3 linked regions of the Rattus norvegicus genome follow. The protein of the gene in region 2 purifies or fractionates together with the protein of the main gene of each other region. This does not show direct contact. Links are inferred from orthologs where the notes say so. Each region holds a gene or a part of one and is shown on either strand. Other genes may lie near its edges.

Region 1 (5,012 bases), on a different chromosome or scaffold from region 2:
AAGACATATTTATTTTCAATTTTTTCCTTTATTACCCTTGTTTGTATGGGTGTATGTGTGTGGGTACCCTCATGCTATAGCAGATGGAGGTCAGAGGCCAACCACAGGAATCAGTTCTTTCCTTCAACACAAGGGTTTTGGGAATTGAACTGAGACCATCAGGATTAGCAACAGGTGCCTTTACCTGCCGAGTCATATCACCAGCTTGAGAATTTTTTTCTGAGCATACACAGCCACTTAGAAAAGAAGTTTTCATATATTTATGACAAACATTACATTTTTGTTTTTAAGAAAAGTCTCAGACTAGAAGGTGTATTTGATTTCCATTCACTGCCAATAATAAGAGAGGCTTAAATATACTAAGTACAGTGCGCAACATACATTAAGAAATCACACAGTAAAGACTACGCAGGTCTTGTGTTCCAACATGAAAAAAAAAAGTCTACAGAGCAACCTAGACAGAATGCTATAGTAAAATGCAAAGAGAGCTGGAAATGACTCAGTGGATAACGCACTTGCCACGCAAATATACGAATTGGAGTTCAAATCTCTAGAACCCGCATACAAGCCAGGCAGGTATAGCAGCCACCTACAATGCCAGCGCTCTAGAGACAGACAGGAGTCATCAGAACGAGCTGACTGGCTAGACTAGCCAAATTGGCCAGCTCCAGGTTCAGGAGGAGGCTGAACTTAATAAATAAGTAAGAGAGCAACTGAGAACCTCCAGTGTCAACTCTGGGCTTTCACAGGCATATACAATGTATGGTACATGGATACCATATGCAGACTCCCCCATACCACATACACATGCAAAAAAAGTAAAATGCATAGAAAAAGGCCTGGGAAGAAAACAACAAACTGGTAACCGGAGTAGAAAAAGGAGTAGGTATGTCAAGGGAGTTTTATTTGGAGCAATTTACAAGCAAATATGCATTCTGAACTGCTCAAACTACTGCAACTCCAGGAGCTGCCAGCACAGAGAGACTCCAGTGCAAAAGACACCCTAGAACAGCAGCGTACCTCCAGCACATCTAGAAACCACAGCTCTAATGCTTATGTAATTTTAAGTTAATAAAATAGAGGGAGGGGTTGTCCCCAAGACAGCAGGAGTTAACTTTCTCATGATACAAAAGTATATATTTTGATTGGGATAGGTTACAAAGTACACATGTCTTTTCTTTTTTTGTTTGTTTTCTTGGGGGAGGGACTTTTGTTACTTTGTTTTGCTTTTTTTGTTGTTGTTGAAACAGTGTCTTCCTATGTAACCCTAGCTGGACTTGAAGTGATCAGCTTGCCTCTGCCTCCTAAGGACTTCAATCTAAAGACATATGCCACCATGCCCACCAATATGTACCATTTTTTCAAAATACCCAACTCAATATGCAAAGTCTATCCATTTTATCCTATGTAAACTACACATGAAGAAGGCACAGTAGTGCACACCTGTAATCCCAGGACACATAGATAGGAGAATAGACATAAGTTCAAAGTCAGAATGACAGAGAGAGACCCTATCTTTAACCCAAACAAACAAAAAGTTTGTTTTAACCAGCCATGGTGCTTCACAGGAAGGACTAACAGAAGGATAGCCACAGTTCAAAGTCAACTTACAGCCTGGGCTACTGTATTTCGAGTACCAATATAGCTGGGGTTACTACTCAGCAAGACCCTGCTTCAAAAACCGGGGGTAGAGGGTTTATTTTCAAATAAATGTAAATTAAATATCTAAATAAAATATTAGAAGTGCCCGAAACAAGACACCCAAATTTGCAAAGCCACATAGGCACCCCAAAACAAAACCTAAGAGAGACTTAATGGTTGTACCCTGAAATGCAAATACTAATTAAAATGAACTAAATGAATATACTTCAAGGCTTCTATATATCCAATGACAAATTTGGATTAATATTGCTCTTATTTTTTATATAAGGAGACTAAGGGTCAGATATGTTAACATCTGAAGACATGAAATAAAGGGTAACTGGAAATCCTGCGCACTCTAATATTTTAACTATATTCTGTCTCCCGGGCAAAATTCAGTGAAGCTAAAGACCCTGCCAGCACCACCTTGCCTGCACAACCCCTTCAGAGGCAGTTCCACTTAAGTCTGATAAAAATCCTCAGAGAACACATAAAAGGTCAAGTTTTAATTTGGCAAGCAAAGTAATCCAACAGGCATTGCAAGCCAGGGAAAGGAAGCAGCAGTATGGGGCTGGAGAGTCCAAGCAAGGCAGAGGACAGAACTCCAGCCCTTACAGACCTGAAGAGACTTAAGCATTCTCTCACCTCAGAACCAAGATCCAAGAGGCAGGATAGAAATTATAAAGTGTTCTCTAGGCAAAAGCTCCCTCCAGTCCTCCTCAAACGACAGAGGAGGGGGGAAAAGGCCAATGAGAGAAGGACCGGAACCTGACTTCAAGCAGCCACCCAAAGAACAAGCTTCTGGTGCACAACATACAAGAACCGCGTGGATGAAGAAGTGGCCACAAGCCACCGGAGTCTGCCACCTAAGCCACTGGTTTAGCGTCTAAAACCCTGGGTTACCTGAGAAGGCAAAAAGAGAATCCTAGGACCAAAGGAAGCCAGCGAGCATCCCTAACTCTACAGAGACTGACACTACTTCATATCAAATGTATCAAACCCTGGTCCCTCCATCCACTCCTGCAGTGGGCATCCATTGTAGGGCTTTCGGGATCCAGGCCACATCCTGAGGACTGGGCAGAAAACAGGCGCGGAGCTTAATTCTAGTTGGGAAGGCAAGATTCTCCTTCCAAATTTCTTTCCCCTCTCTTTTAAATGTCAGTAAGACCCTTCAAATCTCTTCCCAATAGCTCCCACCAGCTTTCCTCAAGTATCTTACTTTCTCCACAAGCCAAGCAACTTACGGCCCAGTTTCCCAGGGCTGGGAAAATCCTAAAGAGACCTGAAGTGAACAGAACAAGAAACATAAAATAGAGCACTTTACATTTTGTGTGTATACTTTCACAGCCGGACTGTCAGCACTTCAACAGCAAATAAATGATGGTTGAGAGTGATAAAGTCGTGACCCGGGCGCTGACCGCGGTTCTCTCCTGCTCCGTAGCTAATCAATAAACGCTTGCAGAGAATGCTAGAAAGGTCTCCCTGATTCCCCAAGGCCTGGCACAGGAATTTAACAGTAAGCATTCGTCAGCTGCATCCTCGCTCTTCTCGGGACACTGTGCCCATCAGAGGTGACCTGAGTAGACAGGTTCGTCTACCGGGAGCCTCGGGAGACACTGAGAGGTGATCTGGAATGAATTCCCTCCCCTCTGCCAGGGCCTGCCTACCTCACCTGCCCTCTGCCAGGACCTGCCGCCTTCGCCCCCTTCAGCACCTAACGCTGAGCCTCCTCCCCGCAAGTCCGGCTCAGGCTGCATCAGCAGCGCGCGCAGCCGGGTTCTGCGCTCCGCGGCCCCCCGCGCGCCCGGGTGACCGGAGAGCCCTCTCCGGCCCGGCGTGCGGTCTCCCAAGGGTCGCCGTTCCAGGGCCGCGCGCTCCGCCACCCCGCAGCCCTCCTTTTCGCTCCTCCAGCCCCGGCGGACTCCCCACCTGGCTCGCTTCCCGGCCGAAGCTGAGGGGCCGTCGCGTGGCTCTCCGGCGGCCGCAGCCTCCTCCGACCCGGCCCCCTCGGCAGAGGCAGCTGAAGCAGCGGCAGCGACTGAGGCGGCGGCGCCCACTCAGGCCCCGGAGCCGCCCCCGCGGCGAACGTTCCTGGCGCCGGCTCGCGCCGCTTCCCCGCCCGGCACGCGCAGCGAGCCCGCCCCCGGCGCGAGGGCGCGAGGGCGAGGGCGAGGGCGGGTGCGCGCGGAGGGCGGGCGCGCGGAGGGGCGGGGCTTCCGCCGCCAGAGGGGGCGGGGAGGCGGCCGAGTGCCCTCCCGCGGGTTTGCGCGCCCCCTCCGGGCCTCTGCTGTGCGCTGGCCGCGGAGGCGGAGGTGGAGGCGGAGGTGCGCTTCCACTCCACAGGTAGCTGCCGGGCGGCTGGGTGCTGCGCCGACGTGACTGAACCGTAAGGAATGCGAAGAAATACCCGGTGAATCATTCACCCGCGCCTCGAGCGCCGGGTCCTCCCCCGAGTGACTTTCCACATTGCCTCAGCAGGCTCGTTTGAGCACTAACTCATGCGCCTGGTGCCCGGTGGACACGATCTGGGTCACGGCCCTGGTCCCCAAGAGCGCATAACTTAGGGAGAAGAGCAGCCTTGCGAAGGACCGAGTCCGGTCCTCTGCGCAAAGGCAAGCCACAGCCGGATGCGGTGAGAGGATGAGGAGGGACAGATTACTTTCCGCTTAGTCGTTCAGTAGTTCCTGAAAGTGGGAGTATTTGGACATTAAACAGCTTGGACAAGGGAGCAGGGGCGACAAAGCTTCATTTATTTATGTATCTATATTTATTACCAACTCATCTATCCTTTTTTAAAGCATTTATGTTTTATTTTATGTGTATGAGTGTTTGGGCTGCAATGTTTGCACCCCGTGAGTGCCCCCGGAGGCCAGAAGAGTGTTTTGGATCCCCTGGAACTGTGAAGTGTGGATGGATGCTGGGGAATCAAACGCAGGTCCTCGGATAACATAGCAAGTGCTCTTTGCTGAGCCATCTCTCCAGCCCCTCATATTGCCATTTTTTTATAGAATCCTTCTTTAGGGACATCGAAGTCTTCTTTTAACGTCTCAAAAATCAAAAAATTTCCCCTCAACATTAAGACAACAGCAATATCCCTTAGGTTTTTGGTGTATGTGAACGTGCATGTGTGAATGGAAGCAGCTCCAGGCCTTTGTGCTTTAGGGAAGCTTTTTGAAGCTTTCTGGCACCTTCTGGAAAAGCAGATCGTGCCACCTGCTTCGATCACACTGTCGGGCTGCCTCTAGAACACCCTTTTCCTCCTCTTCTCACAATCTATTTTTAAATTCCTATGGTGAAGGCAGTCAGTGCTGTGTTGATAACTTTTTTTTTCTGAGGGGGAGGGAATACATTACTTTTTACACAGGAATCGT
Region 2 (4,499 bases):
CAACAGCCCCACAGGTATCTCCTGCGGACTCCTCTAAGATTGCCAGGCACCACAATAAGGCTAAGTTCAGATCCTCCCCTGCCCCAACATCATTTAAAAATCTCTATTTAACTACAAACAATGAAACAATAAGGTCTTATTTGCCATCCACTTCTGCCCATCTGAAAGTTTAAACTTTGACTTAAAGGTCATGTTCCTAGCAAAGCATTTTTTTTTAATTCTGTAATATTCCAAATATTACAGAGACTTCAAAATTTATTGTGAAAATTTTCACCTATCAGTCATGTCCTGCAGAAGTCTTTCCTATTTCGTGTTATAACTTACGCATTTTTTTGTTTTCTTTTTAATACATGTTATTAGTGTGCCATTTGCTTCCGTATCTGCACGGACCATAAATACTGTTTTCACACTCTCCCATTTCTCTCGTAGCATCTATTTTTTTCTCTGGGACGGCCGCATTTCTTACTGTTCTAACACGTCCTCTGTCATCTTCACACCCCGAACTGAGGAATAAGAACGGATGCTCTGAACTACACTATAGCGGCATCTCTGGCCGTGCGAGCCGCCCCCTCCGTCTCAGGCTCACCATGCACTTGTCCAAGTGGGTCTGGATGACGTCGGGGTCCACATCCTTCACACTGAGGACGTGGAGCTCGGCCTTCACGCCATCCAGCACGCGCTTGCAGTCAAGCATCCGCTGCTCGAAATTCGCGGGCTTCTGGAAAAGCTGGAATTTGGTGGAAACCTCTCGGAGTTTCCTCTGTGTGCAGAAATGAAAGTAAGCCACTCGCTCTCTCTCTCTCTCTCTCTCTCTCTCTCTCTCTCTAGCTGTTAGTATAATACATTAATACTAAAAGGCTTCTCAAAAAAAAAAAAAAAAAAACAAGCCAACCCAGGAAAGCCCAGAGGGATTAGGAAGGTTCTGGTAGAGTAAAACAATGGTTCTTAGCCCTCCTAATGATGCAACCATTTAACACAGTTCCTCGTGTTGTGGTGGCCCCCAACCATAAAATTATTTCACTTGCTACTTCCTAATTGTAATTGCAACTGTTATAAATCATAATGTAATTAATTCATAATTATCTTATATGCAGGGTATCTGATAGGTAACCCCCAAAGGGGTCACGACCCACAGGTTGAGAACCACTGTTCAATGTCATGGATGAGCAGCCCTCAGTATTCCCAGTCTCCAAAACAAACATGGATACAGATGGTGTCTCCGGAACGACAGTCCACTAATTTACTCACTTCCTCCAGGAAACCTAGGTCATGGACGTAGACCTCAGACACCTTCCACCACATTAAGAGTGACAGCCCTTCTCCCTCCACGCACTAAGGACCTGAGTGGTCCTGCATCCCGCCCAGACATCAGTCTCTGGGGTCAGAGAGCAGTCCACACAAAGCCAACCGCAAGGCTGAACCCAGTCTCTCTTCTCAACCAACTAGGGTCCTGCCAAGACTCGACCCCACCCCACAGTATAGGGGAGTGTCAGGGCGGAGAGGTGAGAAGGGGTGGGTGGGGGAACAACCTCATAGAAGATGGGGGAGGGGAAACGGGATTGGGGTTTTTGGATGGGAAACCAGGAAAAGGGATACCATTTGAAATGTAAATAAATAAAAATAATAACAATAAAAAACTTTGCTATTTTATTACCCAGCTAACAACCTGTGCCTGCTGCCATGAGGCCCAGTGAGCCTTTAATACCCACTCACATCCCATTGTTCGAATCACAGTACAGAGCCAGGGTACCCACATACCCTTTCTGCTTTCCTTTCTATACCTGCCATATATAAAAAGCAAAGGGGAAACCTGGCCTTTACCTGGAGCAGGTCCATCTGACTTCCTCCTCTTGTGGTTCTGCCCTCAGGGGAGGTGGGGGGCTGAGGGCGGACATTCTTTTTCAGCTCCTCCAGGGTGAGCTCATGGGCTGAGATTTCTGCTTGGATCTTCTACCGGGAAGATAAAAAAGGGAGAAGGTGTGTTTTTAAAGTCCACTGAGAAGCCCTGGGTAATGATGGCCCTTGCTTGTAATTCTAGCACTCTGGAGGCTGGAGCAGGAGGACAGCCAGGTTTAAGGCCACCCTTGGCTACACAGTAAGTCCCAGGCAAGCATGAGTTCCATATGTCTTTAAACAACATGTATGTTTTTAATACAACAGTTTTCACACAGCAGTGTGCCTTTATAGGACAACAGCAAAGTACACGAAGAAACAGAAACACAGAAGGTCAGTGTAGCTGTGCAGTATCTGATCCTGTATTTAATAAGCTTGGGGGACACTTGGTAATAACAAACTGCTACACGGTACACCACTGTGTGCCGTGCACATGCTAAGGCCTCTGCATGCCATTATTGATGCTCACACCTGATTTATATAGAATAAACTGCCTGAACTTTATAGCTAAGGAAGGAAGGAAGGGAGGGAGGGGGGGAGGGAGGGAGAGAGAGAGAGAGAGAGAGAGAGAGAGAGAGAGAGAGAGAGAGGGGAAGAGGAAGAGAGAAAGAGAAAGAAAGAAAAGGAAGAAAGAGAAAGAAAGAAGAAAGAAAGAAAAGGAAGAAAGAGAAAGAAAGAAAGAAAGAAAGAAAGAAAGAAAGAAAGAAAGAAAGAAGAAAGAAAGAAAGAAAGAAAGAAAGAAAGAAAGAAAGAGGAAGAAAGAAATCCATTTTCTAATGTATGAGCTGTGGGAAAGGAGCTGGAGAGATGGCTCGGCTGTTAAGAGCACCAGCTGCTCTTCCAAAGGATCTAAGTTCCTTTCCCAGCACCCATAGGGTGGTTTATAACAGTCTAACTCCAGTTCCAGGGGATTCAAAGCTGCCTTCTGGCATCCGCAGGCAGTAGGCATGAACACAGTGCACATGTGCACGTGTAAGCAAAACACTCCTATGCGTGAAAGATTAAAGAGAAAAATGCTTCAAGTTCTCACCCAAGGAACAAGAACAGCTCCAAAGCCAAGACCGTTCCATAAAGAATGCCTGTTCTCCTGGCTCTGACAGACGGTCAGATGGAAACCGTTCTCTCTCAGAACACAAAGGCTCGCTACTTTGTAGCAGTACCTGAGCTTCCTGGGGCAGCTGGAAGGCATCAATCCTGTCCGTCAGGTATGTGGTAAGCTGCTTGTCCAGCTCCCCTAGGCTCTCCTTCAGCACCTGAAGCATGTGGTCAGTTTCGCGGAGGACCTGGAGTTGCTTCTCCAAAGAGATCTGTTTGCTCTCCGCCTGCACGGAGGAGACATTTCCTCTGTAACTGCTCAGCACAAGTATAAATAGCTGGATGTGCTTTCTGGCCATGCAGGTTATAATAAAGTACTGGTTCAAGACTGAAGCTCTTCTTATAAATAAATAATGACCATCAATAAGAAGAGTGCAAATGTTCTTCTAGTATCTCATGGCCTCAGCTGCTGAACCTCTCATTTTTACTTTCTATTAATGTATACTATGACAAAATACACATACGAAGAGATCTCCCATAGGGCATATATGACAGAATAAAAATGGGCATTTTAGGTGACTGTCTCAGTGGCTAAGTACTTGTTGCCCTTGTGGAGGATGAGGGTTTGGTTCCCTCCATGGTGGCTCACAACCATCTGTACCCCAGGCTCTAGGGAATCAAACACACTCTTCTAGACAACATGAGCATCAGACACATACACGGGACACAGACATGTATGCAGACACTCATATATGCAAAATGTCTTAAATTAAGTAAAATTTGTAGTTTTTTAATTTTTTATTTACTAGAAACAAAAGGCAATTTTAAGAATTACCAATGCCTATCGAAAAAATAAGACATAGTAAGAATGTCTGTCAAGTGAATACCTAATTTTTTTTCTAAAATTGAGAACAAGTTCTGTGGGTGTACAGGTGAGTAAAACCACGAATTGCCACACATCTTTGGATTAAGTCAATGATATTTAGAGTCTAAATCTGAACAGTTGCTATTCAGTAATCTCTTATAATTCGCTAATTACCCACTCAGCCTTCTTACAAAAGAACAACGCCCCTTCTCTTATCACTGATATGAGCATGCGTGTTGAGATATAATCTGGACACAATCCAAGTGATGCAGCTTTCATAACACTTAATGTCAAATTCTGATGCCCCTAATAGTTCCTGGGACATACATAGAGAAGGTATTGTTTTCAGACATGACTGTAATACAATTCTTGCAGAAAATTACATCATCACAAATAGAAATTATCTCAAAGAAGTGTTGGAGGCGGAGGGTAACTGGGAATCTAACCCATGCCCTTGTGTGTACTAGGCAAGTGTTTAACCACTGGGTTACATCCAGTATCTGACAAAGTTTGGTTTGGTTTGGGCTGGGGTTGGTTTGGTAAGACAATGTATTACTATGTAGCCTCACCCGCTTTAGAATTCCCTGTGCAGACTATTCTGGCCTCAAACTCAGATCCACTTGCTTCTGCATCTTAAGTTTTTGGTTTAAAGGCATGTACCACCCCATGTCTTCTCCTGGCAATTTGGATGTCTGTCTGTCTGTCC
Region 3 (5,299 bases), on a different chromosome or scaffold from region 2:
AGATTACAGTGTCATGGGCAAGAAGTTAGATAATGCTCTATTTTATTATGCTGAGGGTCCTCATACAACATTCTCTAAACCTAAGCCTGTCTCCCCAAGGCTGCTCACCTGTGCTACATATCTTAGCTGAAGGGCAGGTCCAGTGTCTAGCAGAAGTCTCTGATTTGAGGGTCAGGATCCTGGGGAAGACTCTCCAGCTGCAGGGCAGGTCAAAGTAGCAGAGCTCCAGAGGAGAAGAGCACTGTCTGCTTGTTCAGTGGGCGTCAGTTCTTAGACTGTCTGGTTATCTTAAGTGGTGTCATTGAGTTCTGGTTATCAGGTGCAGCCTTGGGTATGGGGATCCTGACTAAGCTATTTTTTACATATCTAAAAGGCTTTTTTTTTTTTTTTTTTTTTGCTGTGGTCGTTATATTGCTATTGGCTCTGCAGTTAGCAAAGTCACACTCTTTAGCTAATAACTCTTTAGTTTCTAGGATGTTCATCTACATATGTTCCCCCCCAAAAAACGTGATGGAATCCAGACTTAAGACCCAAAAACTTGGGGGTTGGGGATTTAGCTCAGTGGTAGAGCACTTGCCTAGCAAGTGCAAGGCCCTGGGTTCGGTCCCCAGTTCCGAAAAAAAAAAGACCCAAAAACTGAGAAAATCAAGACCAAACCCTTTCAGGATTTGGTTATGTGAAGCTTTTCACACACACTACCCAATTCCACTAACCCTATGTTCTGTTCACATTGGAATTCTGGCAACTTCCTAAGAAGATGGTGCATATTTTTTTTTTCACTTGACCAGGCTCAAAGACGCCTGGACAGACAGATGTAAAACCTCTTTGGGTGTGTCTGTTTCTGGAAGAAGTGATTTCCATGGTGACCTGAGGAAAGAAGATTGTCTTCACTAGTGGGAACAGGCATCATCCAATCAGGTGAGTGCAGCCAGGGAACGGTAAGACCCATACATTCACCCTGCGAAAACTGGGACATCTCCTGCCACACTTCAGTGCTCCTGGTTTTCCATGGACTGGGCCAGTTTTTACATAGTAGCTTTCCACTCCCATCCCCCGACTCAGGTCTCAGTCTCCTGATATCTTCAGATTTCTACCTAGTCCTCAGGTCTTTGGATTTGGATCCAGAGCGTACCAGTCAACTTTCCTGGGGCTGCAGAGGGCAGATTGTGGAATTTATCCTCAGAATCTTGTGGCTAATCTCGCACAATCTTCGTTAACTGTATATCCATTGGTCTGTGGGGAACTCTAAAACACCAGCATGCTGCAAATGTCTTTGACCCTGCACACTGTGGCTTCCCAGTGCTTAACAAGGCACGATTCCCTCTAATTGCAGGCAAGCAGATAGGTGATTTATAAAAACAGTGACAAAGCCTTGGATCCATGCCTTTGAACCCATGTCATTTGTGCTGTGTCCTCTGCTGCTCCCACCAAGACTAACCTAACCGTTCTTTTTTATCCTGTTCTAGGGACGTCTGCACAGCCTTTTTAACCACAGAGAATCACACCTAGCTGGTTGCCTCTGTTTTTCTTTCCCATTAGACCACAAGCTCTCTCAGCTGTGGTGCATTTTATTCAGCTTGTCTCTAGGGCCTTAAAAGGAGCCCCAGCACACCTCTGAGCGCTTAGGGATCTTTGCAATGAACCAATCAATGCAAGAATGAACGCGCCACCCGGCCCTGCAGGATCGCAAAGTGTCTCTCCACGCTGACTTTGCTCTCCGTGCCGGGGCAGCTCTCATAGAAAAGGTCAGGAGTTCGAGGAGGTCACGGGGAACCAAAGCGAAGGACTGTGGGGAGCCCTGCTGCATGTACTAGGTGCTGCCCACCTACCAAGAGCTTTCGGTGAACCAGGACAACCTAGCCTCCCGGAAGCGGCCTCGCCGGCCTTTCCCCGCCCCTCCGGAAAGTGGGCGTGACCCTCATGAATAATGAATCGCCGGGGGGAGGGGAGGGGTCCGCCCCCCCTCGGGCGGGAAGGGGGAAGCGCCGAGGCTGCCTGACTGGAATCGGGGGAGCTGCAGCGACGGCGGCTGCGGGAGCAGGGCTGGCCATGGCGGTGTGGACGCGGGCCACCAAAGCGGGACTGGTGGAGCTGCTTCTGAGGGAGCGCTGGGTGCGGGTGGTGGCCGAACTCAGTGGCGAGAGCCTGAGCCTGACGGGCGACGCCGCGGCGGTCGAGCCTGAACCGCCCGCGGTCGCCTTCAACGGTCTCCCGAACGGCGGCGGCGGCGGCGGAGACTCGCTGCCGGGGAGCCCGAACCGCGGCCTGGGGCCGCCCAGCCCTCCCGCGCCGCCCCGCGGTCCGGCTGGGGAAGCGAGCGCCTCGCCCCCCGTGCGCCGAGTGCGAGTGGTGAAGCAGGAGGCGGGCGGCCTGGGCATCAGCATCAAGGGCGGCCGAGAGAACCGGATGCCGATCCTCATCTCCAAGATCTTCCCAGGGCTGGCGGCCGACCAGAGCCGGGCGCTGCGGCTAGGCGACGCCATCCTGTCGGTGAACGGCACCGACCTGCGCCAGGCCACCCACGACCAGGCCGTGCAGGCGCTGAAGCGCGCGGGCAAGGAGGTGCTGCTGGAGGGTGAGCGGGGCCGAGCGGGAGGCAGCGGGTGGCGGCCTGGGCTCGCCAGCGCGCACTTTGTTTCTGCCCACCCTGACGCCTGTGCGGCGAGCCGGTTCTCTCCGCCTCAGCCACCAGACCTCCTCCTCTGGGGCTCCAGAGTGTGGAAAAACTGAGGCGCCCAGAGAGGAGAAAGTTGGGCAGTCACCGAAGTGTTACTTTGCCGCCCCTCAGCGAGACTCAGCTGAGATTTAGGGGGGAGCAGCAGCCGCATGCAAAGCTCACCCCTCTTGCACGATAAGCTGACACTAAGCACCAACTACCAGGAGAGCGATCGGCTCGAGTTCCGTAGTTTCCTTTTTCCCTGTTGGGAAGCGTTGGTTGGGCGCTTTCTTTAGTCACCTCGGGCTCCCCGGGCGGGCCGGTCTATTAAATCCATCCACACCGATGCCAGCAGTTTGCTTGGGCAAACCACCAAAGCACTGGTTAATTTATGGGAATTTAACCCATCATTGGCTCTCAACAATAACCAGAGGAGATCACAGCACTTCGTGGAAGGCAGGAGAGCTGATACAGCAAGTTTGTGTGGTTAATGAGCCTTGTTTAACAGTGGAGGCTCACGTGTTTGAGCATTTTACTGCCAACTAGAGTTTCGCCCCTTTTGCAAGAGTCTGGTGCCAGCTTCCTACCGCTTGCAGGCATGCTGCCGCAAGACCAGAAGGCATTTTATAACAATCCTGAAACGATACCATCACACGATATGTGTGAATTAGCCTTCTTTACCGTAAATGTAGATGTGATCTGTGAGCTACGTTTCGTGTGAATCAATGTAACTTGCAGAATTAAATCTCACCTCCAAAGACTCCTGCGTGTTGAAGGTGATGGAGCACTGTAAATGAAAAGCCAGTTGCTTGCTTTAGAAATAATTGCAAGACCAGCTTCATTTCCGCTGTTGAGTCAGTCATTCCAGGAGCATTTATTGCTGCTAGCTGTGTAATAGAGAATGCGAAAGGTGTTGTCCCTGTTGTATCTCCGCGGGAGGAAATGATAGGAAATGCAAAACAACTTCTAGGGAGGAATAACGTTAAGTACTGGACTCTGTAGTACAAATTACAAGATGCTAAGGGATTACAAGTTTAAGTTGTATTTGACTGTAGCCTTTGGCATGGTTCACAGACTGCACTCAAGAGGCAGAGGCAGGTAGATCTCTGAGTTTAAGAAGAACCTGGGCTGGGCTAGAGAGATGGCACAGTGGTTAAGAACACTGACTGCTCTTCTAGACGTCCTGAGTTCAATTCCCAGCAACCACATGGTGGCTCACAACCATCTGTCATAGGATTGGACACCCTCTTCTGGTGTGCATGAAGACAGCTACAGTGTATACATAAAATAAATAAACCTTTAAAAAAAAGGAAGAAGAACCTGGTTTCTACATAGTGAGTTTCAGAACAGTCAGGGCTACTACACAGTGGGACTCTGTCAAAAAAAAAAAAAATTCCAGAAAAGTATTTGCTGGAAAGGGGTTAGTCCAGGAGGGCTTTCCAGGAAGTGATGGGTGAGGAGGGATTTCTGGCAGGAGAACTGAGGGAAGAGTTGAAGTTATGGAGAAAACCATCACACTAAGAGCAGAATTGTAACTTTGTGAAATAATTTTCATCTTTTTGTTTGTTGGCCTGGAATTCACAGAGATTGATCTGCTAAGTGCTAGGATTAAAGGCATGTTACACCGTGCACAGCTTATTTGTGTGTGCTCTCAAATAGCGAGTGTGTCTGTATCTCTGTGTCTGTCTGTCTGTCTGTGAGCATGTTCACATTCAGGCCAGGCTGGCCTCCAAGTGGTCATCTTACTGACTCAGCCTCATGATTGCTAGGATTAAAGGCATTTACTGCCATATCCAGTTCAGTTTTCTCTTAAATTTTTAAAAATTATTATTTTATGCATATGAGCGTTTTTGCCTTCCAGTATAGCTGTGCCTCACATGTATACCTGGTGCCCGTGGAGGCCAGAAGAGAGTGTCAGGTCCACTGGGACTAGAGTTTCAGGCGAGTGTGAGCCTGGAGGTGGGTAATGGGAATCAAACCTAGGTCCTCTGTAAGAGCAGCCAGTGTTCTTCCCTGCCGAGCTACCTCTCCAGCCCTACTTTTCACTTTTTTGTAAATCTGTGATACTTGGAAGCAAAAAGGTTTTTTTTTTTAAGATTTATTTATTTACTTAATGTATATAAGCACACTGTAGCTGTCTTCAGACACACCCAACCCCATTACAGATGAGCAACAAGTTTAAAAAGAAATAACATAGGGGTTGGGGATTTAGCTCAGTGGTAGAGCGCTTGCCTAGGAAGCGCAAGGCCCTGGGTTCGGTCCCCAGCTCCAAAAAAAAGAGCCAAAAAAAAAAAAAAGAAAGAAATAACATGGTGCCCAACAGTGTTGGTGAATGCCTTTAATCCCAGCCCTGGGAGGCACAGTTAGGTGGATCTTGGGTTTGAGTTCAGCCAGGTTTACAGAGTTCCAGAACAGCCAGGGCAGAGAAACCTTGTCTGGAAAAACAAACAAGGGGTTAGAGGGATGGCTCAGTGAGTTAAGACTCTGTACTTCTTTTTCAGAGGACCCCAGTTCAGTTCCTAGCATACAAATCAGGTGGCCTGCAAACACCTTTGACTCCAGTTCTAGGACATCTGACACTGTGTGGCCTCCCAGTCACCCGGACACATAATTAAAGATTGTTAATTTTTTTTCTTTTTGAAA

The links. Proteins that work in one complex are often made in the same cells at the same time.
Region 1: the proteins of Utrn (region 2) and Dtnb purify together in Homo sapiens (affinity purification with mass spectrometry; 3 studies listed by BioGRID and IntAct, with this or other methods). This does not show direct contact. The link is inferred for Rattus norvegicus from reciprocal best matches to the Homo sapiens genes UTRN and DTNB.
Region 3: the proteins of Utrn (region 2) and Sntb2 purify together in Homo sapiens (affinity purification with mass spectrometry; 4 studies listed by BioGRID and IntAct, with this or other methods). This does not show direct contact. The link is inferred for Rattus norvegicus from reciprocal best matches to the Homo sapiens genes UTRN and SNTB2.

What each region holds. Positions count from the first base shown.
Region 1 is NC_086024.1:32,284,720-32,289,731, reverse strand, and holds the start of Dtnb (dystrobrevin beta), read right to left. Parts: upstream 3,251-5,012; 5' UTR 2,981-3,250; exon of another isoform or gene 2,966-2,980; intron 1-2,965.
Region 2 is NC_086019.1:8,848,620-8,853,118, forward strand, and holds part of Utrn (utrophin), read right to left. Parts: intron 3,216-4,499; coding exon 3,054-3,215; intron 1,951-3,053; coding exon 1,822-1,950; intron 761-1,821; coding exon 587-760; intron 1-586.
Region 3 is NC_086037.1:51,739,462-51,744,760, forward strand, and holds the start of Sntb2 (beta-2-syntrophin), read left to right. Parts: upstream 1-2,049; coding exon 2,050-2,575; intron 2,576-5,299. UniProt on the Homo sapiens protein: Adapter protein that binds to and probably organizes the subcellular localization of a variety of membrane proteins. May link various receptors to the actin cytoskeleton and the dystrophin glycoprotein complex.